Linked DNA regions of Cricetulus griseus. The protein of the gene in region 1 interacts with the protein of each later gene in a pairwise test. Links are inferred from orthologs where the notes say so. Each region holds a gene or a part of one and is shown on either strand. Other genes may lie near its edges. The genes, in order: Pram1, Fxr2, Ccdc57 and Skap1.

Region 1 (7,922 bases):
AGCTTAGAACATGTGCTTTTTTGTGTAACAGTGTGACTCCAAGGATAGCAACCCATACTCACCTGTGCACTGGAGCCACCCTGCCACAATCCAAATAATCCTCCTGCTCAGACCACACCCCAGACTGGTGAAGTCAGCCTCCTGTTAACAGCTCAAGAGATTCTATTCTGTTTCCAAACAGAACCATCTCTGTCATCTGTTGAGTGTTTTGTTCCTGTGGACTGACTCTTGCCTTCAGGGCTCTCTTTTACCTGTGTCTACTTTGGTCCCTCTTTGGACTCTCAAGGGCCATTTCCATTCTTCCGCAACCTAGTCTTCGGATTTCTCCCCTCTCTACTTCCTTTAACTACTGGGAACTTGAGGTATCCTTAAAACCCCCTGCCTCCCCAGGGGCAATGATATTCCCTCGCCTCAGTGGCAAGTCTTTAACACCCCCACACCCCAAATCTGCTATCCCAGTTGAGCCTTATGCTTTGGGTGACCATCTCGCTGGGCTAGTGGGGGGCATTTGTTACCTTAACAGGGAAGTCCTATTGAGAGTACACATGTTGAAACAAGGGAGATGAAGCAACACAGGAGGATAGTTATGTCCTCACCATTGCACCAGCCATATCCTAGCTCTAACTCTTGACAGAAACTTCCTAAGCCCCAGAGCAAACTGTAACATCCACACTCATGTGCTCTGTTCCTGTAGTTGTCCTGAGTTTGGGCTTGGCCTGCTTCTTTGGAGACAAAGCCCATCAAGACCCCATAGTGTTAAGAGTAAAGGGGACAATAGGGGACAAGAGGCTAGTGACAGTTACTGTGTGTATTAAGAGATGTGCTTAGGTCTGTTGACATGAGCTAGCGAACAATAGTAGGCAGGCAGGAACTCAAGGGGAGGGGGGTGACAGGCCATTTCCGCCTCCTTCCTCCTGCCCTCCCCACCCTGACAGCCCCTACTTGGTGTGTCAGTCTGTGGAACAGAAAACCACAGATACTTCCTTCAAGCAGCAGCCTAAGCTCAGAGCCCACTCATCCTGTGGCCCATCACCCGCTGAAGCTATGGTGAGTTAGTCCCCAATCCCCCAGTGGAAGTCCATTCTGGCCAGGAAACAAGGGGCACAGGCGAAAACTGGGGAACTGGTAGATATGCCCCCATGGGTAGCTTGACAGAACAGAATTGGGAACAGTCTTGGGAATGAAATGGTGCAGACAAAGACAGAGAACAGCCAAAGCATAGCTTGAGCTCTTGTGGACCAGCTTGGATCTGTGACTGTAAGAGGAGCAGGTTGGGCTGCCTAGAATGATATCCCCTCACCCCAGGTCAGCATCTGGGATGAGAGCAGAGGCTTCCTGTGCGGTAATTAAGTGGGTCGTGCACCTGGGGCCCCAGCCTCCCAGCCCCAGCCAGTCATCCAAGCTTTGCTTTGCTAACCCTTCCTTATCTATCCCTGTGTTCATTTGGAGTTGTTGCCTCAACTCACTGACTAGGACTTCAATAAAGGCATCTGACTCTAGGCAAGAATTGCTTCCTTCCAGGGGTGCTTCTGAATTCCTTCATCACAAGGTTCTCCCCCCCCCCAATCTTCTTGACCTTAGGTGAAGGCAGGCTGGGAGAGTCCTCAGAAAAGGCCTTGTCTTGTGTATCTACCTATATCTGTAACCCATGGCAAATGGCCAGCTTTGAGAGCACTGGAAGTTATGAGCATGTCATATGGTGTATGTGCTCAAGTGGAGAGACTGCCTGATGGTTCTCATGGGGTGTTGTCCCACCCAGTGTATACCACCATCTTAGACTGAATTGTGTGCCTGTCTTTGTAGTCCTGCATGTATTTTATTGCTGTAAAATTTTCACTGAGTACCTATTATGTGCCAGGCACTGGGAAGTCACTGATGGGCTAGAGGGGCTAAAGTAGACAGCCATGTGTGCATGTGTGTGAAGGCTGGGTCTTCCTTGAAGGCGCACTACCTTCTTTTTTGAGACAAGGTCTCCAACTGCACCTGGAGCTTGTTGACTTAGCTATCCTAGCTGGCCAGCAAGCCCTAGAGGTCCTTCTCTCTGGGCCTCTCCAGAGGTAGGATTATAGGTGCTGCTCTGTACTGATAGAACTCAAGACACTCAGGCTCATATGCCAAGTACTTTGCCTACTGAACAATCTCTCTAGCCTTTCCCAAACAAAATTTTTTTAATTTGTTTTTATTATTTTATGTGCATCAGTGTCTTGCCTGCATGTATGTCTGTGTGAGGGTGTCTGATCTTGAAGATAAAGGCAGTTGTGAGCTGCCATGTGGGTGCTGGGATTTGAACCCAGGTACTCGGAAGAACAGACCGTGCTCTTAAACTGCCCCCCCCCCCATAAAATTTTAACAGTTTAGTCAAACGAGGCATGGTGGCACACACCTGTAATCCCAGCACATGGGAGGTAGAGCCAGGGGGATCAGGAGTTCATTATCCTTAGGTACATAGCAAATTTGAGGCCAGCCTGGGATATATGAGAGCCTGCCTCATATACAGCAGAACCAATATAAGAAATTTGATTAGTGATGGGAGATACAAAGAGAACAGGACAGAGGCTATGAGATGGGGAGGGATGTTGCTGAGTCATTCAGGGACTGTTTGCTTTCCCGGGAGACATGAAAACTCACTGAGAGATTGGGAACTGGAGATTTAGCAGGCCTCCTCTAGGGCAGCAGACCTGGGAGGAGCACATTACAACAGTACTCTGGGCTGTGGGGGGCAGTTCCTCCAACTGAGGCGACAGTGAGTAGTGGCTGAATTCCGGATGTATTTTGAAATTGGAACAAAAAGAACTGGGGAGAACCTGGTGGCCAGGCAGGGGACAAAGAGGGAACCAACAGGGAGCAGAAGGCCCAAAGGTTGAAGAAGATGCTGGGAAGGCATCACTGACTGTAAGTACCACGTGGGGGCTGTGGGCTAGTAGAGGGGCATCGGGAGCTAGGTCCAGTTAGAGATGAGGTTAGACTCAACTTGGAGGAGTCAGGAGGGTGTGGCTTCCAGGAACAGTTCTTACCAAAAAAGAGAAGCTGGCTGAGGTAGTGCTGTGGTTGGGGGAGAAGCAATGGTAGAATTCGAGCTGAAGGGAAGGGGTGATGGGTTTGTGTCTATGACCAACTACCTGTAGGTACCTAGTTGTTTCTCCATCTGCCTTCTCATATGAGACTTTCTGAATGAGCTATGCCTTCCCAGGGAAGCAATCAGGACTTCCGAAACCTCCAAGCTAAGTTCCAGGCCTCTCAGCAAGAACCTGGAGAACCATCCAGAAAACCCCCAAAGCCTGAGTTCAACAAACTCCTAAAGAAGTTTCCACAGACTGAATTAAGTGAGCAGCCCAAGAAGGCCTCACAGACTGAGTTTGGGATAGTGTCCTTGAAACCCCTGCAGATGCAGTTTGCAGAACTCCCCAAGAAGCCCTCGCAGTCAGAGGTTCTCAGAAAGTCACCGCAGCCTGAGTTCACTGAGCTACCCAAGAAGTCCCTACAGTCCGAGCTCAAAGATCTCCCAAGAAAGCCTCTACATCTGGAGTTCACTGGTCTCAAAAAGCCCTCACAGACGCAGTTCACAGCTTCCAAGAAGCCTCCAGAGCCCCAATTTGCCAGCCCCCCCAAGGCCCCACAGCCTGAGTTCATTAATCTCCCCAAGATGCTTCCCAAACATGAGTTTGGTGAGCTCACCAAGAAGTCTCCACCGCTTGAGGCACCTCAGGAGCCTATTGTACCTGCCCAGAAGCCCCGGAAGCCTGAGTTCAGCAATCCTGCCAAGCCCCCAGTAGAGCTCAAACCTATCACAGTCCCCAAAAAGTTCTGGCAGCAAGAGTCCAGTGAGGCCCCTCTGAAGCCCTTGCCACCTGAGTCCAGTACTTTTCCCAAAAAGTCACTGCAGCCTCAGGCTGCTGGTTTCTCTAGGAAGTCCCTGACACAGTCAGAACCCAGTGAAATTCCTCAGACATCCCTCTCCAAGCCTGGGTCCAGTGAGTTTTACCCTCGCTCCCCACAGCCTGATGTCAGCAACTTTCCCAAGAAGTCCCTGCAGTCTGAATTCAGTGATAAGATTCCATATCCTCAGGCCATTGGTTGCCCAAAGTCTCCACAGCAGTCCATGTCCTATGAGGTCCCCCAGACACCACCTTGGAAGCCTGAGTCATGTAACCCCCCATCTCACTCCCCGAAGCCAGACTTCCATGTATTTCCCAAGAAGCATCCACAGCTCCAGGTAAGTGACCTTACCAGGACATCTTCGGAGCCCGAAGTCCACAGAGTTCCCAAGAAGCCTCAGCAGCCAGACCTCCAAGCCCTCTCTAAGAAGCCCTCGCAGCCAGAACTGGGTCATCTCCCTAGAACATCCTCGGAGCCTGAGTTCGGCTTGCTCCCCAGGAAGTCTCTGCAGCCTGACTTTGCCAAGGCTCTGCCCAGAAAGCCCAAGCTTCCAGGTTCAGTATCCGAGTGCTCCCTGCCCTCTGCCTTTGCCAGCTCCAGCCCCCAGTTCTCCCTCAGCCCTGGGTATGGAGTCCCTGGGACACCCGGCTGGAGATCAGAAGACTTCCAAATTCGGCACCCGCCCCGGAGGCGACCTCTGCCTTCAGTCAGCAGCTTGGGATCCCCCCCAGCCAAGCCCCCATTACCACCCGTCCCCATCAATATCCAAAGCTTCCGGAGAGCCTCAGCAACAGCTACAGGTGAGTTAGGGTAAGTGGTTCAGGCAGAGGAGGGTAAAATATCTGGGCAAAGCCACTTCCCTCCCATGTTCTCTCCTCCACAGCTGTACTGAAGAGCGGCTCTTCTGGGACCCACTTCCCAGCCCAACAACTTCAACATATCTCACAGTGAGTGTGGGGAGAAAGGGGCCAGGCATGGGTGCAAGGCTAAAGGAGGCCCTCATCTCAGGTATCCCTGCAGGAACCCGGACGAGATCTATGAGCTCTATGATGCTGTGGAGGCCACAGGTGACTCTAGTCTCAGCCCCAGAGGCAGAGGTTTATAAATGGTCTAGGTGGTTGGCTTGGGCACCCATTCAATATTAGTTGCAAAGGCATTCTCTCAAGATCCAGGTTTAAGACAACAAAGTGACCCAGACCAGACTGGATCCAGGTGGGCCAGATAGTGAGAAAGGGGAAGCCCAGACACCCAACCAGCCAGGCTGACAATAGGCATAAGTATTGTTAAGTGAGGTGACAAAAGGCCTGGACAGCAATAGAAGGACTGTCCTTCTGCTTTGCAGAAATCAAAAAGGGCAAACCAGACTAGGTGGCATATCAAGCAGGGAACGAGTCAGATTGTGGCATGGCATCAGGTTCCAAAGCTGGGCAAGGTTAATTATAATACTGTAACTCTAGCATTTGGGAGGCAGGATCATCAGCTTTGGCTACTCAGCAATCAAGACCGGCCTGGACCACATGAGACCTTGCAAACAAAACCAAAGCAACCCCCACCCACCAGGTTCCTTTCAGCCCATCCCACGAAGATGTCCCAAGAAGATGTACGCCTGGAATCAGGAGAGAGGTGTGGGCTGGAGGCAGTGCAGCAGAAGGTTCTTTTCCTGTCTTCTAAGTCAATTTCCTGAGGGGCTCCAGGACTGGTGTCTCCATAACAACATGAAAGAGCTTTGATGATTCTGCAGCGGCAGCCAAGACAGTTACCCCATTACCAACAAGGAAGTTTAAGGATCTGAGACTGGGCCCAGCCAGTCTAGAGCTGTGGTGATTCCAACTGAGCCCTTCCTCTCCTAGCTATTCCCTGTCTTACTAGGGTTCCTAGGAGGGACTTTTAGCTTTGGGATATGCTTGCTCCCAGCTGGAGGTCCTGGTACAAAGCTAGATGCCTTCAAATTCTCCAACCTTTGCTCCTTTCTGGGCCTTTTGTTTGCTTCTCCTGGTCTATTCCAAGAGGGCCCCTAGTGCTTCTGTTGAAGGGATGCTCTATGGTTTGGGGAGTGGGGGGTTGTAAGCTTTGCTGAGAGGCTGGTCAGAGCTCTGGCCAGTTGCTAGGGTTAGAACCTTTAGAATTTAATAGACCATTTCCCACCACCCCCATACACTGCTTCAGTAACCACCTCTCTATCTTTACCCACAATTCTTCAAGCATGATCAAATACCAGACCCATCTGAGTTTCTCCTTTCAGTGCAATGGGTGAGCCTTCCTGTGGGCATAGCCTCTCAAAAGGCTGCTTTGTGCATTTCTGAGTCATCTTTCTAGTACAGTACTAGAGTGGCCTGGGACCACCAGCTCCTCCCTCTTATCCTTGGGCTCCTTTGGAACATGGCAGCTCCCCTACATCTTTTTTCAGCTGGGAACTCACCTGGAGGGTGGGGTCCAGTCTTTCCAGGATTGTGTGTAGACCAACATGAAAGAAAGATTATCATTGGCCTGTTCAGAACAAGCTGCAGGATGATCTCAGAACCACAGGGCTCAGTACTGTCACCAGTCAAGTTTGCTTCCAGCTGTGACAGCACTCAAGGCTGAGGCAAATCATGAGAAAAGCAGGTGCAGTGCAAGTTCTGGGTAGGACCCAGATCTCTGCCTAGAGAGCAGAGACCAGATAGAGTATGACAGGCACCCCTCTGTGGGCTGCTCATCAGAAAGGACAGTTGGTCCAAAGTGACATTTGAGTCATTAACAAAATGGGGCTTCTGATTCAGGCCCTCACTAACCTGCATCTTTAAGAGGCTGTCACCCTCAGCAACAGTTGGAAGCCTGGCCTACTGCTAGGAAGTGGTACAAGTCAACCTGCTGAGAAACCATACCAGTCAGTCTTGGCAGCTGAAGGTTCAGGCTAAGAAACCCTACATGGCCAGGTGGTGATGGTACGACTTTAATCCCAGCACTGTGGAGGCAGAGGCAGGTGGATCTGAGTTCAGTGCCAGCCTGGTCTATAGAGTGAATTCCAGGACAGTCAGGGCTTCATGGAAAAACCCTTCTTCAAAAAACCAACCAACCAAAGAACCCCACCCTGGTTGCTCCTCTTTAGAGGCAAGCTCTGGATGCTATAAGGGAATGCTTGCTTTTAGCTCTGAATCCCAAGTCTTACTACAACTCCCAACATATTCTGGGAGGCAAGCAAAATGGTTCCCAAAGTCTACAGCTTGTGGGCTGGTCATAGTGACCACAGCTTTAACCCTAACACTCAGGGATAGATAGATCTGAGTTTCAGGCCAGCCTGGTCTATACAATGAGACCAAAAACCAAGGCCTACAAATCCATCCCATCTTTACAATTTCACTAGCTGGGTAGCCTTGTACAGTTGACCAACTTCCCATCCTGTACTTTCCTCACCGAAATGAACCTTATTCACAAGAACTGATGAACCCTGAGAGAAAGGTATAGGAGAAAAGTGGTTGAGATTCAGGGAAGGTCCAAGTACCTACAGAGCAGGTTCACCCATCAAGCCTTTGTCCTGACTCTGTCCAATGTCCTCAGATGAAGTGCAGTCTACCCAGCGAACTACCAGATTGCCTCTGCAGGACACAGAGCTCAGGTACATGGGGCACTTGGGGTGTTATGGTGCTGGGCTGAGCTCTGGGACTCTGATAGAGGACACTTCTTACTCATAAATAATACCCCAATGTCTGGGTCTTCCAGGAAGAATGCCAGTCAGCCCCAGCAGCCACTACCCACAGACCCCAAGCTGCTGAAACAGATCAGGAAGGCAGAGAAAGCTGAGAGAGAGTTTAGAAAGAAGTTCAAGGTGAGAACATGGAACAAAGAATGCTGGGAGATACTGGTACCCAGGCACCCCGGACTTCCACCCTGAGGAAGGAACCAAGGTAACAGCAGAAATACAAAGTCTTAACATGATGTTCCCCAAGTTTGAAGGCGAGATCGTGATTCACACAAAGATGATGATTGACCCCAATGCCAAGACCCGGCGTGGGGGTGGCAAGCACCTGGGCATCCGACGTGGCGAAATCCTGGAGGTGATTGAGTTT
Region 2 (7,703 bases), on another chromosome or scaffold:
TTTGTTCCTATGTCATACACATGTCCATAGGTGTATAAATGCTGTTGAATCTAGTAGAGTCTAGAGAAAAAAATACGATCCTGTGTTTCATTCATTACCTCCTTCCTCCTCCCCCTAGAATCCATGCTTCCCCTTTCATTGTGTGTATAGATACATCTTTAAATATATGTTCTGTATGTGAGGGGAAATGTGTAATGTTCGTCTTTTTTTTCAGTGCTAGGGATTGCGCCTAGGGTCTGACATCTGTCAAGGCAAGTGTGCTACTACTGAACTAAATACATAGACCTCTTTTAGTCTTGAGTTAGGGTCTCATTAAGTTGCCCAGGCTGGCCTCGATTTCACACCATAACCTGGACTCCACAAAGTTGTCCTCCCACACATGTACACCATGAACACATATACATACAATAATAATAATAAATACATGAAATATAGATGATCTGTCCTCTGATAAGAGTTATCATTTCTATTTATTTAATTGGTTTATAGTCTTAGTGTGTCTGGGCCTGGCTTGGAACTTGTAAATCTTTGCCTTACAAATTTTAGAATTACAGAAAAGATCTACCATGCTTAACTGGACATTTTATTTTTTAGTTTTTCAAAACAGGGTTTCTCTGCACAGCTCTAGCTGTCCTGGAACTCAATCTGTAGACCACGTTGGGCCCAAACTCAGAGATCTACCTGCCTTTTCCTTTTTTTGATGGTATTAGATGCAATGCCATTGCCACCACTACCACTGGCTTAATAGGACACTTTATTTTTTTTTAAAGATTTATTTATTATGTATACAGTGTTCTGCCTGCATGTATGCCTGTACATCAGAATAGGGCACCATATCTCATTACAGATGCTTGTGAGCCACCATGTGGTTGCTGGGAACTGAACTCGGGTCCTCTGAAAGAGCAGCCAGTGCTCTTAGCCTCTGAGCCATCTCTCCAGCCCATTAATAGGACACTTTAAAAACATTCATTTTTGTATGTGTGTGGCCATGCCCTTAAAAAGCATGCTTATGGAGGTCAGAAGACACCTCCAGGACTCTATTTAGCCCTTCCGCGTGTTCTGTGGACATCACTAGTCTCAGTGACAAACACTCTTACTTGCTGAGCCATCCTGCAAGCCTCTAATAGGGCTTTTTTTTTTTTTAGAAAAAAAAACTTATATTTTTTAAAGATTTTATTTATTTATTTATTTATTATGTATACAGTCTTCTGCCTGCATGCCAGCAGAGGGTACCAGATCTCATTCAAGGTGTTTGTGAGCCACCAAGTGGTTGCTGGGAATTGAACTCAGGACCTCTGGAAGAGCAGTCAGTGCTCTTAACCTTTGAGCCATCTCTCGAGCCCAGAAAGAAAAAAAAAAAAACTTTTATGTATGAGTATTTTGTCTCCATGTATGTATGTGAGCCACATGTGTGCCTGGTGCCTACAGAGGTCATAATGAGTGTCCAGTCTCCTAGAACTAGAATTACAGAGAACCGGGGTTCAATTCCCAGCACCCACGTGGCAGCTCACAACTGTCTGTAATTCCAGTTCCAGAGGACCTCACACCCATGGCAAAATACAAATGCATATAAAATAAAAATTAATAAAATTTAAAAAAAGAATTACAAGTGTTTGTGAGCTGCTATGTGGGTACCAAGAACCAAACTCAGGTCCTCTGGAAGAGCAGCAAGTGTTCTTGACCACTGAGCCATCTCTCTAGCTTCTTTTAGTAGGGTATTTATTTATTTTCTAGACAGGTTTTCTCTGTGTGGCTTTGGAGCCTGTCCTGAAACTAGCTCTTGTAGACCAGGCTGGTCTTAAACTCACAGAGATCCTCCTGTCTCTGCCTCCCAAGTGCTGGGATTAAAGGCGTGCACCATTGCCGGGCTAGTAGGGGTTTTTGGATTAATTACAATTTTTTTTTAAGCCGGAAAGTGGTGGCCCACTACAGAGCGAGTTCCAGGACAGCCAAGGCTACACAGAGAAGTCCTGAGGGTGAACATGAGTGATGTCACACATGTGATGGTCAGAAGACAACTTGCTGGAGGTGGGGGTAGCTCCAGGAATTGACCCCAGTCGTTAGGCTTTATAGTTGAGCATCTTCAAGGACCGATTTTGTTTTGTTTTGTTTGAGAATTTTTCCTGTCTTGAATTTCCTTAGCATTTATGTATCAAATCATGTTGCATTTTCTTTTCGATATGGGCTTGAATTTACTAGAATCAACTTAAGGCAAGCAGGGCAATGACAGGCATTTCTGTAATTTTTGCACTTGGGAGGTATCAGGAATTCAAGGTCACTCCCCAACTGCTTAGTGAGTTCGTGGTCAGCCTAGGATACAGGAGACCCAGTCTCACCAAACTTAAGAAAATCCACTCCAGCCAAGAACCGTGACTCTTGAATCTCCTACAGATGCAGAGAGTCAACACATGCGCATGGACACCAAAACCCGGGGCGCGTGCGCACCGGACACTTTTTGCCTTCGGGCTCCCCCCCACCCCTGCCCGCACTTTGGAGTGTGCGCACCAAGAAAGACAAAGGTGGTGAAAGTGACCAAGCAGTCATTCCGGCGCATGCCCATCCCTAAATTGCTCCGGCTCTGTGGGGCTCACTTGGTGGAGGCGGAAGTCCAATCCGACGGAGCGGGCGCGGCCCCTCCCTTCTCGTGATTGGTTTGCTCACAGTGTTGTGGGGCGGGGAAAGGAAGGGACAGGGATAGTGGAAGGCTGGGGAGCTGGAGATAGAGCGTTCATCTGGTTCTGCGCAAGCGCAGAGGAGCGACCAGGAGGGGGCGTGAGAGAGTAGAAGAGAATGTGGAAGCCCTGACGCGCTGGCGAGCCGGAGCTGGGTCGCTAGCCTGGACGCCTGCGCCTTGGCCCTCGGGCTCCGCGCGCGGCGGGCGGGTGCCCTGTGCGCCTGCGCAGTAGGCGGCGGCGGCGGCGGCAGGGGAGGTGGAGGCCGTGGAGCGGCAGCGGCAGCAGCGGGTCCCGGACTGAGGCAGCAGCGGGGGGCGCCGGCGGGCGGAAGCTGAGGTGACGAAGGCGACGGCGGCGGCCGTTTCTCTCACGGTGGCGGAGACCAAGGCAGTGGCGGACGGGGAGCGGCCCGGCCCCGGCCCCCTGCTCGTCGGCTGTAGCAGGGCCGCCGTGGGGCCGGCCCGACTCCCGCCCCCCGCGGCTCCCCCTCCAGCTCCTCCTCCTGGGAGACGCCGGGGGCCCGGCCCGGCCCGCACTCAGAGCTCTGCCTCCGCTGCTGCCGCGGCAGTCGGAGGTGGTGGCGGCGCCATGGGCGGCCTGGCCTCTGGGGGGGATGTGGAGCCGGGACTGCCCGTCGAGGTGCGGGGCTCCAACGGGGCCTTCTACAAGGTGAGACGGTGCGTCGACCCGGGACACCCTCCTTAGCCCCCTCCCCCAGCCGGAGCAGGGAAGAGTGGAGCGGGCTCGAGTTTCTGGAGCTCGGTCCTGACCCTTAGAACCTCGACCCACGCTCCCACTCGACACCCTCTCGGGGAGACCGTGGGAGTTAACCCTCGTGCTTTTTTCTTTTTGAGCCCGCTGTTACACCTGCTTTCATCCTCAGCTGAAAGCATGAACATCAGGTCATTACTGCGCGTGGATGGGCGCTCCTGGTCCCTCCGGAGAAACCCCTTTACTCAGCTTCTAATTGACTTTTCTTGTTTCTTAGTGGAGGAGCTACTTCAGCTCCTAATCACATCCTTTCCACGGCACAAGCACATGGGAGAGTCTTTCTTTTCCTACATAACCCTCTTGGGAAGGCCCACTGTCCCATATTAGGTCTTCGGTCTTCAGGGAGGTTTCTGCCTACTGGCTCTAAACCATTTACTCAACTTTCATCTTATATTGTAGGTCTCCATCTAAGAAGAAATGATCAAAACCCACGTGTGTTATTTAGCATCTTTGGCCTCAGGCTTTATCAGCCATAAAAGTGGTCTTGTTGGACAAGTCTGTCACCCCACCACACCTTTATCCCGAAACCAGCTACCCAGAGATGGATTCGTGTTTCTCTCTTAGACTACAGCTACATTTAGGTCATTCCTGTGTTTTCTTAAGTTTAGGCTTCCTTAAAAGGGTGTCTCAGCAAGCTTCTTTTCTGTCCTTATTCTAACAGATTTCTACTTGTTGACAGTCTTTTCTGGAAAGAGAAAGTATCTTTCAGAATTGCTAATTTCAGCATTTCTTTGCCCAAGATTTGATTCCTTTGAAGTGTTTTGGGGGGTGGGGTTGTAACATGTCCTAGCCCAGGCTAAACTCCTACCTCAGCCTTTCAAATTCTGTGACTATATTACAGCCTCGATCTATCAGACCAGACCGGCCTTTTGTTTTTTCCTTCTTTCTATTCATACATCCATCCGACTCTCTGCATCTGGGCTCCCCCTCCCCTCCAGTTTAGATTAAGAGTGACTCTTCTTGCTCCACAACTGTTTTCCTTTATCTGGTAGGTGGAATTCTGAACCTCTTTTGAGGTTTTTTGTTTTTGTTTTTTGTACCCCAAGACAGGGTTTCTCTGTGTAACCTTGGCTGTCCTGTGCTCTGTAGACCAGGCTGGCCTCAAGCTCATAGCCTCTGCCCCCAGCACCGCCCAACTGTTGACTTTTATGTGTGGAATTGTCCTAGAAACTTTTGATCCACCCCTTACTCTTTACTCTGAAGAGGGATTTTCATAGCATCAGGTAAGTTAGAGGAGCTGCCTCACTTGAGTTCTCAGGTCCATTCCCCTTCCCCAGGAGACCTTTCTGCTTTCTCATGCCCTTGGAAACTACTTTCTCTGACTACTATGAAATTGTATCTTTTGTAGCTGAAGAAGGACTTGTGCTTGCCCTTGTAGATGGTTTCTGCCCCCACTTGACTGATAAGTTGGATTTTACTCACTATAAATGCCATGCCAGTTTTGCCTGCCTTTTCTGATTAAGTTCTTTACCCTTTATTCAGTGCATATGGGTGTACATATCTATTAGTCTCAGCGTATCCTCTCAATTAAATCTTGGGCTGTTCATCTTGATATATATATTTAATTTTATGTACAATGGTGTATTGCTTGCATGTATGTCTGTGTGAGGGTGTCAGATCCCCTGGAACTGCAGTTACAGACAGTTGTGAGCTGTCATGTGGGTGCTGGGAATTGAATCAGGGTCTTCTGGAAGAGCAGCCAGTGCTCTTACTGTGGAGCCATCTCTCCAGCCCTTAACTTGATGTTTCTGTATTCCTGTGTAATCTTCACTGATGTCCATCTATTCTTTGTATAGCTGAAGAAAGCTCCCAGCTGATCTCTGACACTATCACTTTCCTTGCTAACTCTTGGTACTTTTTCTTCTGACTGGAAGAATATCTTGATAACATTTGTTTTCTGTGGCAAAAGTCTCAAATTCCTATCAGGTTCTGTAGGACACACACACACACTTTTTTTTTTTTTTTTTTTTTGCGACCGGGTTTCTCTGTGTAGCCCTGGCTTTCCTGGAACTCATTGTGTAGATGTAGACTGGGCTGGCCTACACTCACTGGGATGGTTCAGCTTCTGTTGACTAGGGGATTAAAAGCATCCACAACCACGCCCAATTTGGAAAATGATTGTTAAATTGAGTATGAGATCAAGATAAGATACTTTTGTTCTAGAAAGCATGGGAGCCTTGCACAGCTGAGAAGGATTAGTGCTGAGTTCAAATTAACTGTATGAAATGGTTGGGAAGGGTGTGTTTTCTGTTACATATGTGAGTATCCAGTATCAAACAGATAGTCTCTGGATTTTTTTCATTTTTACCTGTGGGCCATAGCAGTGACAGATTTGAGTGAAGGGGGCCAGATTCTCTGATACAGAGTTAACAGTATCTATTAGTATTTATTTAAGCCTAGCAATTTAAATCCTGTGTTCTAACCACTTTAGCAATTTCTGTCCCATGACTGAGTTAAAACAGTTCCTTACAATTGGACTAATCTTTCTTAAACTCATATGGGTTTTTGTTTTGTTTTCTGAGACAGGGTTTTTCTGTGTAGCCCTGGCTGTCCTGGAACTCACTCTGTAGACCAGGCTGGCCTTGAATTCAGAGATCTCCCTGCCTCTGGAGTGCTGGGATTAAAGGCGAGTACCACCACCGTCTGGCACTTTCCTAAACTCAGTAAATTGAGATTGCTTATCTATTCCAACCTTGCTGATTAATATTCATGACTCAGCAAACTTTGGTGTGAGTAAAGGAGTGTTAACCTGTCTTTTATATCTGTAAATTTGAGGAGATTCTTTTTGCCTCTCTCAAAATTGTGTTTTATTGATTTTTTTTTTTTCCAGGGCAGATACCAGGTCTAAGATCTGAGTTATTTTATAAGTATCCTATCAAGCTCTCCTTTTTTGTTTTAAGGTCTCAGGTGATTCGGTCTGGCTTTTAGCTGAGGATGACCTTGAACTCCTGGTCTTACTGCCTCCAATTCCCAAGTATACACACCACCAACCCCAACTTCATAATTTTTTTTAAAAATACTTTTGTTCTCCCCCTGAAATAATTTATTTATTTTTATTTGCATTGGTGTTTACCTTCTTGTATGCCTGTGTGGGGGTGCCAGATCCATGGACCTGGAGTTACAGACAGTTGTGGGTTGCCATGTGGGTGCTGGGAATTAAACCGAGGTACTCTAGAAGAGCAGCCAGTGGTTTTAACTCTGAGCCATCTCTCCAGCCCCCATAATGGGTTTTGTTTGTTTTGTCTTTTTTACTATTTTGTTTTTGTTTTTCAAGATGGGGTTTCTCTGTGTAGCTCTGGGTGTTTTGGAACTTTGTGCTGTGGATGTGGCTGGGCTGGAACTCAGACCCACCTGCCTCTGCCTCTAGTGCTGGCATTAAAGGCGTGTGCCACCACCAACTGGCCAGCATTCTCCCCCCTCCACCCCAGACAGGGTTTCTCTGTATAGCTTTGGAGCCTATCCTGGCACTCACTCTGGAGACCAGGCTGGCCTTGAACTCACAGAGATCCGCCTGCCTCTGCCTCCTGAGTGCTGGGATTAAAGGTGTGTGCCTGGCCAGCATTCTTTCTTAATGGGACATTATCAGCTAGAAAACATGTTTTTTGTCTTGGCTCCTTTGTCCTAGAATTCCTTTTCTTCTGAGGGGTGAAGATGGAGACTAATTTCATATCTTTTTATTTAAGGAAAGTAAAGTGTCTAGAAACTTAAGAGCTTTCTTTCTTTCTTTCTTTTTTTGTTTTTTTTTTTTTCGAGACAGGGTTTCTCTGTGGCTTTGGAGGCTATCCTAGAACTAGCTCTGGAGACCAGGCTGGTCTCAAACTCACAGAGATCCACCTGCCTCTGCCTCCCGAGTGCTGGCGTGCGCCACCAACCCCCGGCTAGAAACTTAAGAGCTTTCTAACAGATTTTATGGTATGTACTTGCCTGTTTCTCCAGTGGCATAGACCAAACAGAACTTAGGAGTTCCTTTTTCATCATGTTCTCCAGAGAAAACCTTGTCTCTGAAGTGAATGGGTAGAACTAAGAGGCAGAGGTAGAGCTGGAATATGATGTTGGAAAGAGCGTGTATTCTGGAAAATAGTTGGAGGGAAAAAGATGCTGGAGGTAATAAAAGGGTAAGTGGCATTGCGTTACGCTGCAGAAGGATGGTTCTACTCTGAGCTTAGCATATTACCTTGGAAGTCATCATTTGTTGAAAAAAAATAAATGGTCATTACTACTTACTTAATAAGTCTACATTCACCCTAGGGGGAAAAT
Region 3 (7,228 bases), on another chromosome or scaffold:
GTACAATTTATTTTTTTGTTGATGTGGTTTTTCAAGACAGGGTTTCTCTATGTAGCCCTGGCTGTCCTGGAACTCACTCTGTAGACCAGGCTGGCCTCAAACTCATAGAGATTCATCGTCACTCAGCCAATTTAAAACTTTTTATTTTTTTCTTTATGTATATGGGGATTTTGTCTGCATGTGAGTGCTGAGGATTGAACTTGGATCCCCTGGAGGAGCAGTCAGCACTCTTAACCACTGAGACATCTCTCTAGTCCATGCAGAATAAGCTTTAATTTCCTGATACTTTGCCCAGCGTTGATGTCACACTTTAATCCCAGCACTTGGGAGACAGAGGCAGGCAGATCTCTGTGAGTTTGAGGCCAGCCTGATCTACAGAGTGAGTTCCAGGACAGGCTCCAAAACAATACAGAGAAACCCTGTCTCGAAAAACAAACAAACAAACAAAAACAACAAAAAAATTCTTGATACCTCATAATTCTATGACTACTTCTTCCCCTGATAGAAATGTAATTTGACAGTGATTTGTGGAGAAAGAGAGAAAGAGAGAGAGAGAGAGAGAGAGAGAGAGAGAGAGAGAGAGAGAGAGACCCATCCCCAAAATATCCAGTTGCTAAGTCTAGGAATATTAGCAAATGGCATGACTTTAGTGTTTCTACTGAACACAGTGTCCTGTCCCCATGATCATTTCCTCACCACCCAGGATGGGGGCTCAGTGCTAACGCCCAGTGCTATTACAACAGTTCTCCAGCACTCACGGTTTCCTGACACTAGGCATAAGTGGAGCAGGTTGCCCAAACACTCTGGCCTGCATTAGACATTGGAAAGGAGCCGGTGCACTGGAGCACATCTGTAATTCCAGCACTGACTAGGCTGAGGTAAAAGAATAAAGGCTTCCAGGCCAGCCAAGGCTACAGAGGGAGGATGTCTTAAAAAAAAACAAACAAAACGTTAGACCCAGAGCTGTATGGTCCTGAAATTCCAATTCTGTTCATATCCACAAAAGACTTGAAAGCAAAGTCTCTAAGAGAGATCTGCACATCTGAGCTTACAACAGCATTGCTTGTGGGGTCACGGTGAAAACAACCCATATGTGCAGAGTGGGTAAACAGAATGCAGCCTATTTGCATTGGGAGTATCCTTCAGCCTTAAAAGGAAGAAACTGACTCAACAGCCACGTTAAAATAGTTAACTTGTGTTATGCATGGCATTTTCGTGTGTCAGTGCAGGAGTGTGAACGGGGAAGTTTTGTGTGTGGGGCATATGCATGATAGGCCAGATGTCAACGCTGGGACCTGCGGCTCAATAACCATTTGAGGCCAATGAGTCCTCCAGGGCATCTGGAGATGTGTATTTTGACACAATCACAATGATTTAAGAGAATAGCAGTCTATAAATGTGAGTGAACCTTGAGGACTCGAGTCTTTGTGACAGTGACAAGCCAGTTATATTAGGGCAAGTGCCATAAGATTATAAATGTGCGCTGTTCCTGGACTTAGCAAATTCACAGAGAAAGTGGTTTGGAGGCTGCAGGGAGAAGACTGGGGGAAGGAAGGGGAGCCAGTGCTGAGTGGGAACAGAGAGAGAGAGAGAGAGAGAGAGAGAGAGAGTCTACCAATCGACGGCATTCATCATGTACTGACGCCGCTGACCTTTACACTAAAAACAGCCGAGTGGTGAACTTTGCCAGGCATGGTGGCACACACCTATAACCCCAGCACTTGGGAAGTGAGGCAGGAAGATAAGTTAGAGGGCAGCCTGGGCTACACATCGAAACCCTGTCTAAGGGGGTTAAAAGGGCCAGGTATAGTGGCATATGCTTGCAGTCCCAGCACTTGGGAGGTAGAGGCACAGGGTTATAAACTCAAGGGCATCTAAGGCTATGGAGAAGTTCTGGACCACCTTTGGCCAAATGAGACCTTGTCTTAGAAAAACAAAAACTAAAAATAGTAAGTAAACTTTGTTATGCATATTTTACCACAACTACACAATTAAAAAGAAAACATAAGAGAAATGGCTAGAAAAGAAAATGGCCGGAAAGTCCCGAAAGCCCCTCCCACCTGCTGCATGCAGTTTCCCAGGGCACAGGCACACAGGGCTGTTGGGCAGGGCAGGTCAGAGGCAATGGCTGGCTCACTTGTCAATGAGAGCATTCTTTTCCTTGGCATCATCAGCTCGAATCCACTCGGCTTTGCGCAGTTGGCCCTCAAGGGTTTCACAGTGGGCTTGGAGCTCCAGCATCTTGGCCTCCAGCTCATGCAGCTGCTTTGCATGGGAGCCCTTCACGGCTGCCAGCAATGTGTCTTTCTCCCTGGCCTGACGGTCAAGCTCTTCATTCCTGAAACACAGGGAAGAGTCCCACACCATGGCTTACTCAGTGCTCTGTTTGTCATCCTTTCTTACACTACAGTACCCCTGACAAGATGGGTGACTCGGCAGGCAGCACCTACCTATTCTCAGTTTTGCAGACGTAGCATATGGGTGAGCTTGTTCTTCCTGTATAAGCAGCTATTCTTAGATGCCAGGCTCCTGGATGCCCCCCCCCAACTCACAAGACAGACACCAGAACTGCTTCACAAAGCACCCTTGACACACCACCTAGCCTCGTGACCAGCCATGGAGAGTACAGATACTCCTTGCCTCCCAGAGCAGCAGATTCCTGAAAATTCCCTGAATTTATCCGTTTGTCTGAACTGCACAAATCACAATGTGAGAAAACCCAAGAGAATTTGTCCCCACCTCATCCTCTCTCCTACAACACAGCATCCTCCCAAGCCGCCTAAGCGAGCAGGAGCTTAGTTACTGTGTTTCCTTTCGAAGGGAAAGTCAACCCTGGGGGCTGAAACCCTAGAGCTGAGCTTCTTCTGTCTGGGAGCACGTCATCCCCGACCCCACTCTGCTGCTCTGGCACCTCCTAAACCCACTGGAGCCTGGGGGAGGGGCAATGCGTCAATTGCCCCGTTGAAGTTCCCACCTTGAGCCAACACGCCATCTACTTCCTGGGTGTCCCAGACACCTGGCAATGTGAAACACCTGCTGCTGTTGGCTGAGTCCCAACCTACCCTGGTCAGCAGGAAAAGAGCTCAGAGAATCCACATCCTTGAGAATAAGAGGTGACTGTGTCAACATGGTAAAGTTTGGGACTACAATCTAAAACTTATAGTCAATAAAACATCCAAGTTGCAAATGTCAACTTTTAATTTTTTAAGTATTGATTTATTTAGTGGTGGGCATGTGTGTGGAGTCCCTTCTCATCTTTAACCATGTGGGGTTCCAGAGAGGGAACTCAGGTCACCCACTGTGGTAGCAAGTGACTTTATGCACAGAGCAATCTCACTAACCCATAAAAGCTAACTTTTAAGGCTGTGCTTTTTAAAAGCCTGTTTTGGCACTGGAGAGTAAATCCACAGTTTTGGGCACACTAAGCTTGTGTTTTACCAACGAACTGAGGTCCTGGCCCTCGAAGCATTTTGAGTTTTGAGATGTTGAAGGTCTAACCATCTCTGAGGAAGTAGATTTTGGAGGCAAAGTGGTGTGTGAGCACAGGCTACCATCATAGGGCCCTTGTCTCCAGCGACTATGACCCAGACTCTTCCAGAGACATCCACCCAGGCACAAATACTCACTTCCTCCTGAAGGTCTCCTCGGCTCTCTTCCTAGCCAGCTGTACAGACTGAAGCTTCTTCTCCAAGTCTTTTATCCTAAATAAAAACCATATCAGTAAGGAGCAGTTACCTAAGAGACCAAAGAGTAGAGCTGGAATAAGCTAGGAAGGCAGAGTCACCAGGATCTAGTCCTGACGGCCACAGCGCCTGTAGGGGAGAACCCACGTACCGAGCATCCTTTACAGCCTCCAGACTCTGGAGCTCCAGGGCATGGTCCTGTAGCTTCCTCTGCAACTGGATGTGCTCTGCTTTTGCCTTCTGCAGACTCTCTGTTGCCTGTGCTCCAGCTTCTCTGAGAGCCTGCAGCTCTTTGTTTAGCAGTTTTACCTGAGAGATTGAAAAGGTCCAGGAGAGTAGCTGGGTGGGAAGAATAATGTGCTTGGCAGCACGCAGGGGGAGATTACAGCGGGCAACAGTGAGCACGGGGTGATTACAGCGGGAATCTGGAGGCCAGAAAGCCTGCAAAGCCCAGCAGGGACAGTTACCTTGAGCTCATGGGTCAAGACTACGTTGCTCATATCATCAGCCCTCAGTTGGAACTCATGATCCTTTCTCTGAATTTCAGATTCGAACTCCTGCAGCAGCTCCTGGAACAAGAGAGTCAGGAGTGAAGAACAGCTACCTCAAACATCTTGGCTCAGGCTTGAGACCACTGTCCATCATGAATTGTAATTTTTTGTTTGTTTTTGCTTTTTTGAGACAGGGTTCCTCTGTGTAACAGCCCTGGCTGTCCTGGCACTCTCTCTGTAGACTGGCTGACCTTGAACTCACAGAGATCCTCCCGCCTCTGCCTCCCAAGTGCTGGGATTAAAGGTGTGTGCCACCGGGCTGGAGAGATGGCTCAGAGGTTAAGAGCACTGACTGCTCTTCCAGAGGTCCTGAGTTCAATTCCCAGCAACCACATGGTGGCTCACAACCATCTTTATGAGATCTGGCGCCCTCTTCTGGTGTGCAGATATACATGGAAGCAGCATGTTGTATACATAATAAATAAATAAATAAATAAAATCTTAAAAAAAAAAAGTGTGCACCACCATCGCCCAGTGAATTGTGACGTTTTTTATAGTACATACAAAGTTTTCTGTTCTACACACATAGTAGTTACCTAAGGAAAACAAAGACTTAATATTTTCCTACCATCATTCTTTAATATGTATCTTTATAGATCTTTGTCTTTTATTATGTTAGAACGTTTAATTTTAAAAATTGCTGTCTGGCCGGATGGTGGTGGCGCATGCCTTTAGTCCCAGCACTTAGGAGGCAGAGGCAGGCAGATCTCTGTGAGTTAGAGGCCAGCCTGGTCTACAGAGCAAGTTCTAGGACAGCCTCCAAAGCAATACAGAGAAACCCTGTCTCGAAAAACAAAACAAAACAAAAAAATTGCTGTCTGATGCCAGGCAGTGGTGGCACATGCCTTTAGTCCTAGCACTTGGGAGGCTGAGGCAGGAGGATCTCTGGGTTCGAGGGCCACCTGCAGAGTGAGTTCCAGGACAGCCAAGGTTACACAGAGAAACCCTGTCTCAAAAAAAATTACTGTCTGATGGATCACTTATGTTTCTTTTTAAAAAATTATTACATTGGCAAGATGGGTCCATAAGTAAAGTCACCTACCCTCAATCTGAAAATGTGAGTGAGATCCTTGGAACCTGAATGAGAAAATCCTACAAGTTATCCTCTGATCTCTATATACATGCCCATATACAGTCCAAATAAAATGTAATTAAAAAATTAATGGGGACTAAGAAAGATGGTTCAGAAGTTAAGAATGCTTGTTTTTACAGAGGATCCAGGTTCAGTTCTCAGCATCAGCACTGGTAGTTCACAACAGCCTGTATATCCAGCTCCAGGAGATCCAACACACTCTTATGGCTTCTAAGTTACCTGTGTACATACATACAAGTCTTCTCTCTCTCTCTCTCTCACATACATACATACATACATAAAAATTTAATGAATTTGGTTTGTGATTAGGGCAAAAAATCTAAAAAATAATTTTAGATGTATTTATATTTATTTACTTTATATATATTTATAATATTACATATATGAATATTTTGCTTGCATGTATGTCTGTTTTGCCTGTATGTCTGGGTACCACAAGTGTGCCTGGTGTCCCTGGAGGCCAAAAGAGAGCATCATATTCCCTGGAACTGCAGTTATAGTTGGTTGTGAGCTGCCACATGGATGCTGGGAATTGAACCTGGGTCTTCTGCTCTAAACTCTAGAGAGTCATCTCTCTAGACCAAAGACAACATTTATGAAAGGGCTCTGAACAAACTTCTGTCATTTTGTACTATATTTATGTAAAGCAGCCTTCTCATCATTGATGTTGAAATATCAACCAGCTTTGAACAAACTTGAAGATGCTTCATGTTCTGCGTGTCAGTCAGCCAAGATTTAACTGTCTATGTGAAAATAAGCAAGCACATCCATTTCATTAGTGTGCAAATTAGCTTTCATTGTTAATAAATGGTCAAATTAAATGTAAACTAAAGCTTTGTTTGTCTTAGTTTTTGACAGGGTCTTGGTATCTAGCATTGCCTGGCCTGGAACTTACTATGTAATTAAAAAATTTAATGTGTATGAGTGTTTTGCCAGCAACATGTACACTGCATTTGTCTCTGGGCTTGTTTGCATCAGCTCCCCTGGAATTGGAGTTACTGACAGTTGTTAGTTACCACGTGAGTACTGAGAATTGAACCCAGCTCCTCTGGAAGAGCAGCCAGAGCTCTTAATTGCTGGGCTATCTCTCTAGCCCCAAGTAACTTGCTATTTAGACCGCCTGTCCTAGGAATCAGAGATCTACCTGCCTGTGCCTCTCAAGTGCTGAGGTTAAAGGTGTGCACCACCATGCCTGGCTCCAAAAGAATTATTTTATCTTCTTGCACGTAACCATCTGCATGTGTGTGTGTGTGCACATGTGCACAGTTGTGGAGAGGTCAGGGGACAAATTGCTGTAGCTGGTTTTCTACTTCTACCATGTGAGTTCTGGGGATTGGAATCAGGTTGGCAGGCTTGGCAGCAAGAGCCTTTACTCACTGAGCCATCTTGTCAGCCAAGAAATAGTTTAAAATAAAAATTTCTATGATCTTTACCAGTATGTGTGATTTGTGTACACACACACACACACACACACACACACACACACACAAATCAGTGGTGGCTTACACCTTTAATCCCAGCACTCGGGCGGCTGAGGCAGGCAGATCTCTGTGAGTTCCAGACCAGCCTGGTCTACAAGAGCTAGTTCCAGGACAGCCTCCAAAGCCACAGAGAAACCCTGTCTCAGAAAAAATAATAGTAATAATCACAGAGGGATATTGTTTAGTGGTAGGATGCTTGCCTGTCATGTGTTATGCCCTGGATTCTAGTCCAAGCATAGAAACACACACACACACACACACACACACACACACACACAAAAAAAAAAAAAAAAAAAAAAAAAAAAAAAAAAAAAGGGAGAGGGAGAGGGAGAGGGAAGGACGAAGGAAGGGAAAGGTGGGTGGTGAGTTGGTGGGATATACCTGTGACCCCAGAACTTGGGAGGCAAAAACAGACAAGTT
Region 4 (7,854 bases), on another chromosome or scaffold:
ATGGCTCAGGCTTCTTACTGGCTAGCTCTCTCTTAATTATTAACCCATTTCTATTCATCTTTGTATGTCCACATGGCCTTATCTTACCAGCGAGTGCCTGGGCGTCCTACATTCCCAGTAGCTACATGGTATCTCTCTGGTGGTTCCTCTCTACATTCCTCTTCCAGAATTCTCCTAGTCTGGTAGCCCTGCCTATACTTCCTGCCTGGCTATACCCTTCCTGTCCATTGGCCGAAACAGCTCTATTCATCAGCCAATAAGAGAAACACACATTCACAGCGTACAGAAGGACATCTCCCATTAATACACTTTGATCATAGGGTTTGGAGAGATTAAGCTGGTGCTATCCTGGAAGCATACTACATGCTGGCTAGTTTTCATAGTACCAGAAGTTTTACCAGCTGTGAAGGCTGAGAGCTAGTGATAACCAGCCTGGCAAGATACTTCTGAGGTGCAATCGTGACATGAACGTTATAGGGTAATCAACCACTTTTTGATTGGATTTAAGGCCTGCTCCATAGGAAAAAACTCATGCCTGGTGCAAAAATGCAGCCAAAAGCCTATGATGAGGGAGTTCCATTGGCCTTAGGGATGAACCTACTATAATTTTACTAATATGCCTTCTGAATATATCTTTCTATCCATAGATAAGTGCATCTCTCGGACCTCATCAGAGAAGCTTTTTGGTATGGACAACAGCAGCTAATGCAGAGACTTACAACCAGTCATAGTACAGAGAACAGGTGTCTGTGGAGGGCTCAAGAATAAAATAGACGTTTGAAGCATACTGCCCTCTCCTTGATGCTCAGAAAACATTGTGGAGCAGAGGACAAAAAGACTGCAAGTGTCACAGGGTGAAACAGTCCTCTGAACATGACAAGACCCTTTGCCCTAGGAGCTTACAACAGTCAATTGACCAAGACAGTCAATATTCCAGCATGGGTAGGGAGGGGCAGACCAGCGCCTAACATAAGCTGATGGTTTCTTGGGGAGGGAGAGTCAATTAGGGGTATGGTATGGTCCCCCTGGTAGATTCACCAAGATCCAGGGGATGTCCCATACCATGAGTGTCTGAGTAGGACAAACTGGACTTGGTGGGTTGAGAGGACATGACGTTGAACCGGATGTAGCTGGGATATGAGAGAGGTTGGAGGGGGAGGAAGGCAGTGAATATGATCAAAATACATTGCATGAATGCATGAGATTCTCAAGGAATGAATAAAGATATTATACTAAAACCTGTAGACTGAATTATATGTTGTCTACAAGAAATACACTTTAATATTAAAACACAGGAAGGCTGGAAGTAAAAGAATGGGAAACAATCAGCAAGACAGACAGAAAGACTAGGGAAGTCAGAACTGCCGCAGTGATGTCAGGCAAAGTATTCTTCAAGGCAGGGGAAAATACCAGAGATAAAGAAGGTTATTTCAAAATGACAAAAGGGCCACATCACTGGGAGACATAACAATTACAAAAGAATATGAACCCAGTAACTGAGCTTCCAAGTACTTGAAGCCAACTGACCTTTTTATAGAACAATATGTCCCATTGCTCTCTCCCTCTTGTCAGTGCTGATGAACCTGGGAACTTGTGTGTTCTAGGCAAGTGTTCTGTTGTTCCCATATCTCTAGCTCTATTAAGTCTTGATTAAAAATTTAAAAGAGAGACTGGAGTGATGGCTAGGTAGGTAAAATGCTTTCTGTTCAAACACAAGGACCTGATTTCAAATTCTGCTACCCAAGTAAAACCTGGGTACAGCAACGCTTGTAACACAATACGTGTGATCCCAAAGCTGATTAATCACCTGTCTGTAGCCGGGCGGTTGTGGTGCATGCCTTTAATCCCAGCACTAGGGAGGCAGAGGCAGATGGATCTCTGTTAGTTCGAGGCCAGCCTGGTCTACAAAGCAAGTTCCAGGACAGGCTCCAATGCTACAGGGAAACCCTGTCTCGAAAAAACAAAAACAAAAACAAACAACAAAAACAGAAGAAAGAAAATGACCCACAGCTGGATTTTATAGAGGCATTTCTCAATTAGGTTGGAAGATCTCAAATGTAGACTGTCATGACATAACCATCCTACAGATGGATGGAATAGCTTCACTGGAAGGAAAGGTGTTGACATAAGTAGACTCGGAAATGAGGAGTCAGTAAAATGACCATCCATGGTGCTGTGTGTGTGGCGGGGTGGGGGGTGGGAGGGTGTCTGTGTCTGCCTGTGCAAGTCTGTGTGTGTGTCCGTGTGTGTTTGTGTGTGTGTCTGGGTCCACATCTGTGTGTGTGTGTGTGTGTGTGTGTGTGTGTGTGTGTGTGTGTGTCTCTGTGGGTGTGTCTGTCTATGTGTTTGTGTGTGTAGTGCATGCTCACACTTATACTAGAGATAGAACTCAAGTCAGACAAGGATACAAGGTAAGACCTTGACAAAAAAAAAAAAAACATCTGAACAACAACAAAATAATCTTGAATTATAACCCAAATTATAAATAAATACTCTTAAGTTCATAAGTAATATAAGTAATTAAGTAAATTAACAAATGGGAAGTAAAAGACAGATCTATAGTGTAGAATTCAAAATAATTTATGTAGATATTTTACTCCAAGATAAAGGAAACATACCTCCCAATCCTTGGGTATGGGCTGTACACAGCCACTTTCTTCCAAAAGACTGCAGAAAGGAAAGGGGAAATAGAGCAACTCCACAGAGGAGAAACTTGACACCAGCCAGGTGTTCATGGTTCAACATCAACCATCATAAATCACACCGACAGTGTGGACCCTTGATGCAATGTGGTGAAAATGATACTTTTGTGATCTTCCTCCCTTAAGCCTGTAACCCAGTCTAAACCTGAGAAGAATGCTAGACACATTCTAATACAGGGTCATTCTGACATTTACCTGACCAGCACTCCTCAAAAGGTTACACTCATTAAAAACAAAGGGAGTGTGGGAGACAGTCACAGCTGTGAGGCACCCAAGAAGACCTGACTGTATCCTGGATAGGATCCTGAGATGGAAAAAGGGCATTAAGTAAAATCAGGAAAACTGAATGAACTGTGGGTTTTAGGTATGTGATGATGCTGGTACGTTAGACATAACCAAAGCACCTGTCATGGCTAATCTTGGCTGTCAGCTTGACTACATCTGGAATCAACTAAAACCCAAGCAGTCGGGCATGCCTGTGAGGGATTGTCTTCATCTCATCATTTGAGGTCAGAAGACCCACCCTAAATCAGGCTCATTTGAGGTCAGAAGACCCACCCTAAATCTGGGCCACACGTGCCGGTAGCCGCCCACATAAGAGGCCACGGAAGGAGGAAGCTTTTCATTTTGCCTGCTTGCCCTCTCTCCCACCATCAAGTTCAGCTATGTGGCAGCTGAGAGGTTCCTTTGCTGTTATTAGAACCCCCGTCTTCAGTATTTCAACACAGACCAGAGACCAGCTGAGATGTCTAGTTTCATGGACTGAAAAACTACTGGATTCTTGGCCCTTCTGTTGGCAAAGTGCACTGTTGGACCAACCAGACCACAGCGTGTAAACCATTCTAGTAAATTAATTCCGTTTCATGTAAATAGATCCATTCTATCAGTTCAGTTCCTCCAGAGGACCCTGACTAATGCAACACCACACAGACGTAAAATGTTCTAATTAAGAGAAAGTGGAGGAAAGAGAAGGGTTAAGGGAACTTGGCATCACCTGTTTAATATTCATGTAAACCTAAACTTTCCACAAAAATTCAATTAGTAAAAGCTGTAAACCATGTAATCTGAATGCGCTAAATCTGATTATTTAGCAAGATGGGTAAAAAACGCTAGCTTCCAAGACTGAACACAGGAGTGCAATTCCTGTGTCCCTTATGGTGGAAGGAGAAAATCAAGTCCTGAAAGTTACACACACACACACACACACACACACACACACACACACACACACACAAACTAACTAGAAAGTTAAAATATAGGGCTCGGTGCATTCATTTTAGAGTCACTGCCACACTCCGGTTGGGCACTGTGATGAGCATCAGAACTTCAGCAGAGGTCACTACCAGGTGGTGGAACGGCAGCTATTCTTACCATCTTATTTGTATTTCTAGATGTGTGTCTATTTCTAAGTTGTATGTTTCAGAATAGAAAAAAATAGTACAATAAAAATCAGTGTAAACCCTGAGATACTCACGGTTTAGAGACCCTTTACTTTCCATTCCCCACCCTGGATTCATTCAGTGGTAGAGGACCTGACTGGCTTTCACATAGTCCTTAACAGGGTAGGGTTCCAATGGGCAGGTACAGGAAGTGGGCAGCAAAGATGATGCTATGTTTGGGTCCTATGGCACAAGCCCATGATCCTAGCTACTCAGGAAGCTGGGGCAGGAGGATGGAAAGTGGAAGGCCAGCCTTAGCAATTCAGTGATGCACTTTCTCAAAATAAAAATACAAAAGGCACTGGAGATATTACTCAGTGATAGGGTATTACCTACCTTGCTCAGGCCTGGGTTCAGTCTCCTGTAGTATATGATGATGATGATGGTGATGATAAAGAAATCTTATGTGATGTGGTAAGTCAAACTGTTCACTTTCTTCTTGTAGAACACACATGGATATGAACTTGTGCACACACACACACACACACACACACATACACACACACACACACACACACACACACACACACACACACACACGCACACACGAAATCATTGAATTTACCTACTAAATTCTTCCTCCACCCAGTTTTACTGAGGTAAAGTTGATATTGGTCCTTACTAAGTTCTTGTAAGTAAAATACCTGCCTACTCCATATGCGGAAATGTACCAATGGGTTATAATTACGGCCCTGTCGAGGCTGCTAAGGATGAGTTGATTCTTTTCTTAAAACTTGTCCTGTTTTAGTTTTCCTTCCGATTAATTATGAGAAAGCCTTTCCTTAGATACTTCAGGAGTGAAGTGTTTGTTTCTTTACCTGCAATCAGCATCTTCTTGGAGAAGTAAAAAGACACAATGATGACCTCTGCCATTGATCTCATTGTTTATTTAGAATGCACTCTACAGATACACCCACAAGCTTTCTAGGTGAAATATAGAGCCAAGAAAACAAGAAGTCAGAAGGAAGGGCTACATGCAGGCTTGTGTTTTTGATATTGCGTTCAGCCTCCAGCAAAATCCTGATATGAAAACACTAAGGAAAGAAATTAGAGAAACTACTTCACTCTTTGATTGAGAAGGTGGAGCTTCTCACGGTGAGAACCCAAGGGGCCTGGGCAAGCCGTCTCGAAGATGCCAGATAGGAAAGAGATCTCAAGCTGTCCTGCAATGCCCCACCTCTCTCTAGTCACCATTCTGCTAGTAGGTTTTCCCATTAAGTAGATAACAGATTTGCTAACAAGAGCTCTTTGTGGGGACTGGAGCTTGCCTGGTGTATATGCAAGCTCCTGGATTTGACATTTGGCACTCAATTTCTTTAAAAAGCTGCCAGATCGAGATGCCTTGGGGTCTCTGCAACTGCAATATCCAGTGTCAATAAGGAGGATGAGGCACTCATGGGGTCTGCCCAACAGTTGCCTTCAGCTAGAGAGTGAGCAATACCATGTGACACTCAAGTCCTCATAGGAAAAGATGCCAGCCACCTGCCATAAACAATGACACACACAAATGCCTCTATTCTTCATCACGTATTCAATGGGCACCGGGAAAACGAGCAGGACACACACGAGCAAAGGACAGACAGTCAAATGCACAACTAGAATTATGACAGGAGCTACCAAAAAGGGAAGTGCGGAGCGTAGGAGTGACATTCACAAATGTCTCTGGAGGTCAGGGACAGAGGTGAGTTACAGAGAATGAAGAGATTTAAACTTGAAGAGCTAAACAAGGTCAGGAGGGGAAAGAAAGGCGGCAATGTTCATCTAGAAGGCACACTCATAAACACATAGTATGGTGCACTACAGTAACACACGATTGCTTTAAATCTCATATTTAAAAGGTAAACACAGCTTTGGCAAAGACATTAAAATTCACACCTGCCCTAAAAGGAAAACGCCCTCAGGTTTCAGACATCTGTGCAAGGAAGTCAGAACAGGAAAGAAAAAAATAAATAAATAAAGGACTGGGACAAGGGAGTAGAAGGCATGTACCACACTGGAGGCACAATACGGTCATCATGTCCCAGCAAATACCCACTAATGCGCTAAGGCTGCCTGCCAGGAGGGGCCCAGACCTCCTGGTTCAAGGCTAGTAAGAGTGTCTGATATTTTCCCCAAATTCTCTGACCTTGTCCCTTTACAAAGTCACTATTTTGTTTATTTGGAGAAGAATAACATCTTAAGGGTCACATTTTTTTTTTCCTAACGACTGAAAGATAAATGTGGCTTCTTCCTGTTTTCTCAAAAACACTCCTGACACTCTGGGGGGAAAATACTTCAGTCAGTGCCGCTAACAGTTGCAAATGTTCTTTGTTGATATATGTTTCTAAAACTCAAAAGTTTGCTTCAATCAACCTTTTATTTGGAGGCAAGATGAATGACCCAGTGCTGCTGAAAACAATTCCACCAACCAAATACCAATAAAAGTGTTCCTAGAGGGGATATTGTGTGAAAGAATTTGAACCGCTAAAGCAGAACTCGCATTTCTGAGAAGAATAATGGATACATTTCTGCCTGTAACTGGCATTGCACCCAAGAAAACAGTTGAGGTGTTTGTTTTGGTCTGTGGGTAAAAAGGATTAAGATAGGTCAAAAATGTTAATTTTAACTAATTAATTGAATTAATTCCATGGACTTACTGGCTAGTACTCCAGGTTTCTTTTGCTCTAAGAAGAACCCCCAAATTATCTGCATATACCATTTAAGCATAAATGACTGTCCTAGCCAGGCAAGACCACAGAAATGCCCAGCTTCTCTGGTTACATTGAGTTAATCCCTGTTTTACTTCAACAACCCTCTGCTGATTTCTGCCATTAATACCTGACCCTTCCCAGGCTCTTCCTTTTATCAATACATCTCCACACCTTTTCTTCCTTATTGCCCATAGATATTTTATTAGTCAGGGCACACTGTGTGGACAGTTTTGTCTACTGTATTTCTACTTCTAGTTTTTTACTTGCTGTTGTCTGTGAGCATTTGCTTAGGACACCACTACTGTTTGAATGCCTGTGTCTCCCCCAAATCCACATGCTGAAACACAGCCACCAATGTGGTAGTATTAAAAGGTGGGACTTTTGGAAGGTTATTGACTGTCCTGATGGAAGTCAGAGCTCTAATAAAAAGAGGCCCTAGGGTCACTACTTGCCCCTTTTACCACGCAAGGGCACAGAAAGTGTCATCTCTAAAAAGTCAAGCAGGTCCTCACCAGACATCAAATCTGAAAGTGTTTTGGTCTTAACTCCCTAGTCTGGAAAACTATGAAAAATAAATATTTGCTGCTTACAAACTGTTTATAGCATAAATGAATATTTGTGGCTTATAAACTGTTTTGTTAGAGCAGCCCAAACGGCCTAAGACAATTATTAAATACTGCTCCCCTGCCTTCAACGGGCTTAGAAGTTACACATTTTAGCATTTTGTCCGTAGTCTGCTTTACCCTTATGATTTAAAAAAGAATGTAATCCTGTCCCTCAAGTTAACAAATATTAATGAGCTGGTGTCTTTTGGTTCTTTCTGTCAATGTGAAGATTTCTAGCCAAGAAAATAATCAATGTTTTATTATGTACATTATGTTTCAAGAACTTGACATGTGTGCATTTATATGACATTTCAAAATCATATCTATAATAACATTTTTCCAGTCACCCTTGTTGATTGCTTACTTTTTGTATCATGAGCTTCTTTCTTGGACTCTTTGTCTCATCTCAGATATTTAA

What was found.
Region 2: the proteins of Pram1 (region 1) and Fxr2 interact in binary tests that used the Homo sapiens proteins (3 or more experiments, as listed by UniProt). The two-hybrid records come from large-scale screens. The link is inferred for Cricetulus griseus from reciprocal best matches to the Homo sapiens genes PRAM1 and FXR2.
Region 3: the proteins of Pram1 (region 1) and Ccdc57 interact in binary tests that used the Homo sapiens proteins (3 or more experiments, as listed by UniProt). The two-hybrid records come from large-scale screens. The link is inferred for Cricetulus griseus from reciprocal best matches to the Homo sapiens genes PRAM1 and CCDC57.
Region 4: the proteins of Pram1 (region 1) and Skap1 interact in binary tests that used the Homo sapiens proteins (3 or more experiments, as listed by UniProt). The two-hybrid records come from large-scale screens. The link is inferred for Cricetulus griseus from reciprocal best matches to the Homo sapiens genes PRAM1 and SKAP1.

What each region holds. Positions count from the first base shown.
Region 1 is NC_048598.1:95,321,748-95,329,669, reverse strand, and holds the start of Pram1 (PML-RARA-regulated adapter molecule 1), read left to right. Parts: upstream 1-3,178; coding exon 3,179-4,676; intron 4,677-4,759; coding exon 4,760-4,823; intron 4,824-4,896; coding exon 4,897-4,973; intron 4,974-7,413; coding exon 7,414-7,471; intron 7,472-7,575; coding exon 7,576-7,681; intron 7,682-7,802; coding exon 7,803-7,922. UniProt on the Homo sapiens protein: May be involved in myeloid differentiation. May be involved in integrin signaling in neutrophils. Binds to PtdIns(4)P.
Region 2 is NC_048600.1:83,473,768-83,481,470, forward strand, and holds the start of Fxr2 (fragile X mental retardation syndrome-related protein 2), read left to right. Parts: upstream 1-2,907; 5' UTR 2,908-3,263; coding exon 3,264-3,344; intron 3,345-7,703. UniProt on the Homo sapiens protein: mRNA-binding protein that acts as a regulator of mRNAs translation and/or stability, and which is required for adult hippocampal neurogenesis. Specifically binds to AU-rich elements (AREs) in the 3'-UTR of target mRNAs.
Region 3 is NC_048600.1:133,383,397-133,390,624, forward strand, and holds part of Ccdc57 (coiled-coil domain-containing protein 57), read right to left. Parts: intron 4,253-7,228; coding exon 4,151-4,252; intron 3,993-4,150; coding exon 3,835-3,992; intron 3,702-3,834; coding exon 3,627-3,701; intron 2,339-3,626; coding exon 2,138-2,338; intron 1-2,137. UniProt on the Homo sapiens protein: Pleiotropic regulator of centriole duplication, mitosis, and ciliogenesis. Critical interface between centrosome and microtubule-mediated cellular processes. Centriole duplication protein required for recruitment of CEP63, CEP152, and PLK4 to the centrosome.
Region 4 is NC_048600.1:109,633,500-109,641,353, reverse strand, and holds the start of Skap1 (src kinase-associated phosphoprotein 1), read right to left. Parts: upstream 5,015-7,854; coding exon 4,960-5,014; intron 1-4,959. UniProt on the Homo sapiens protein: Positively regulates T-cell receptor signaling by enhancing the MAP kinase pathway. Required for optimal conjugation between T-cells and antigen-presenting cells by promoting the clustering of integrin ITGAL on the surface of T-cells.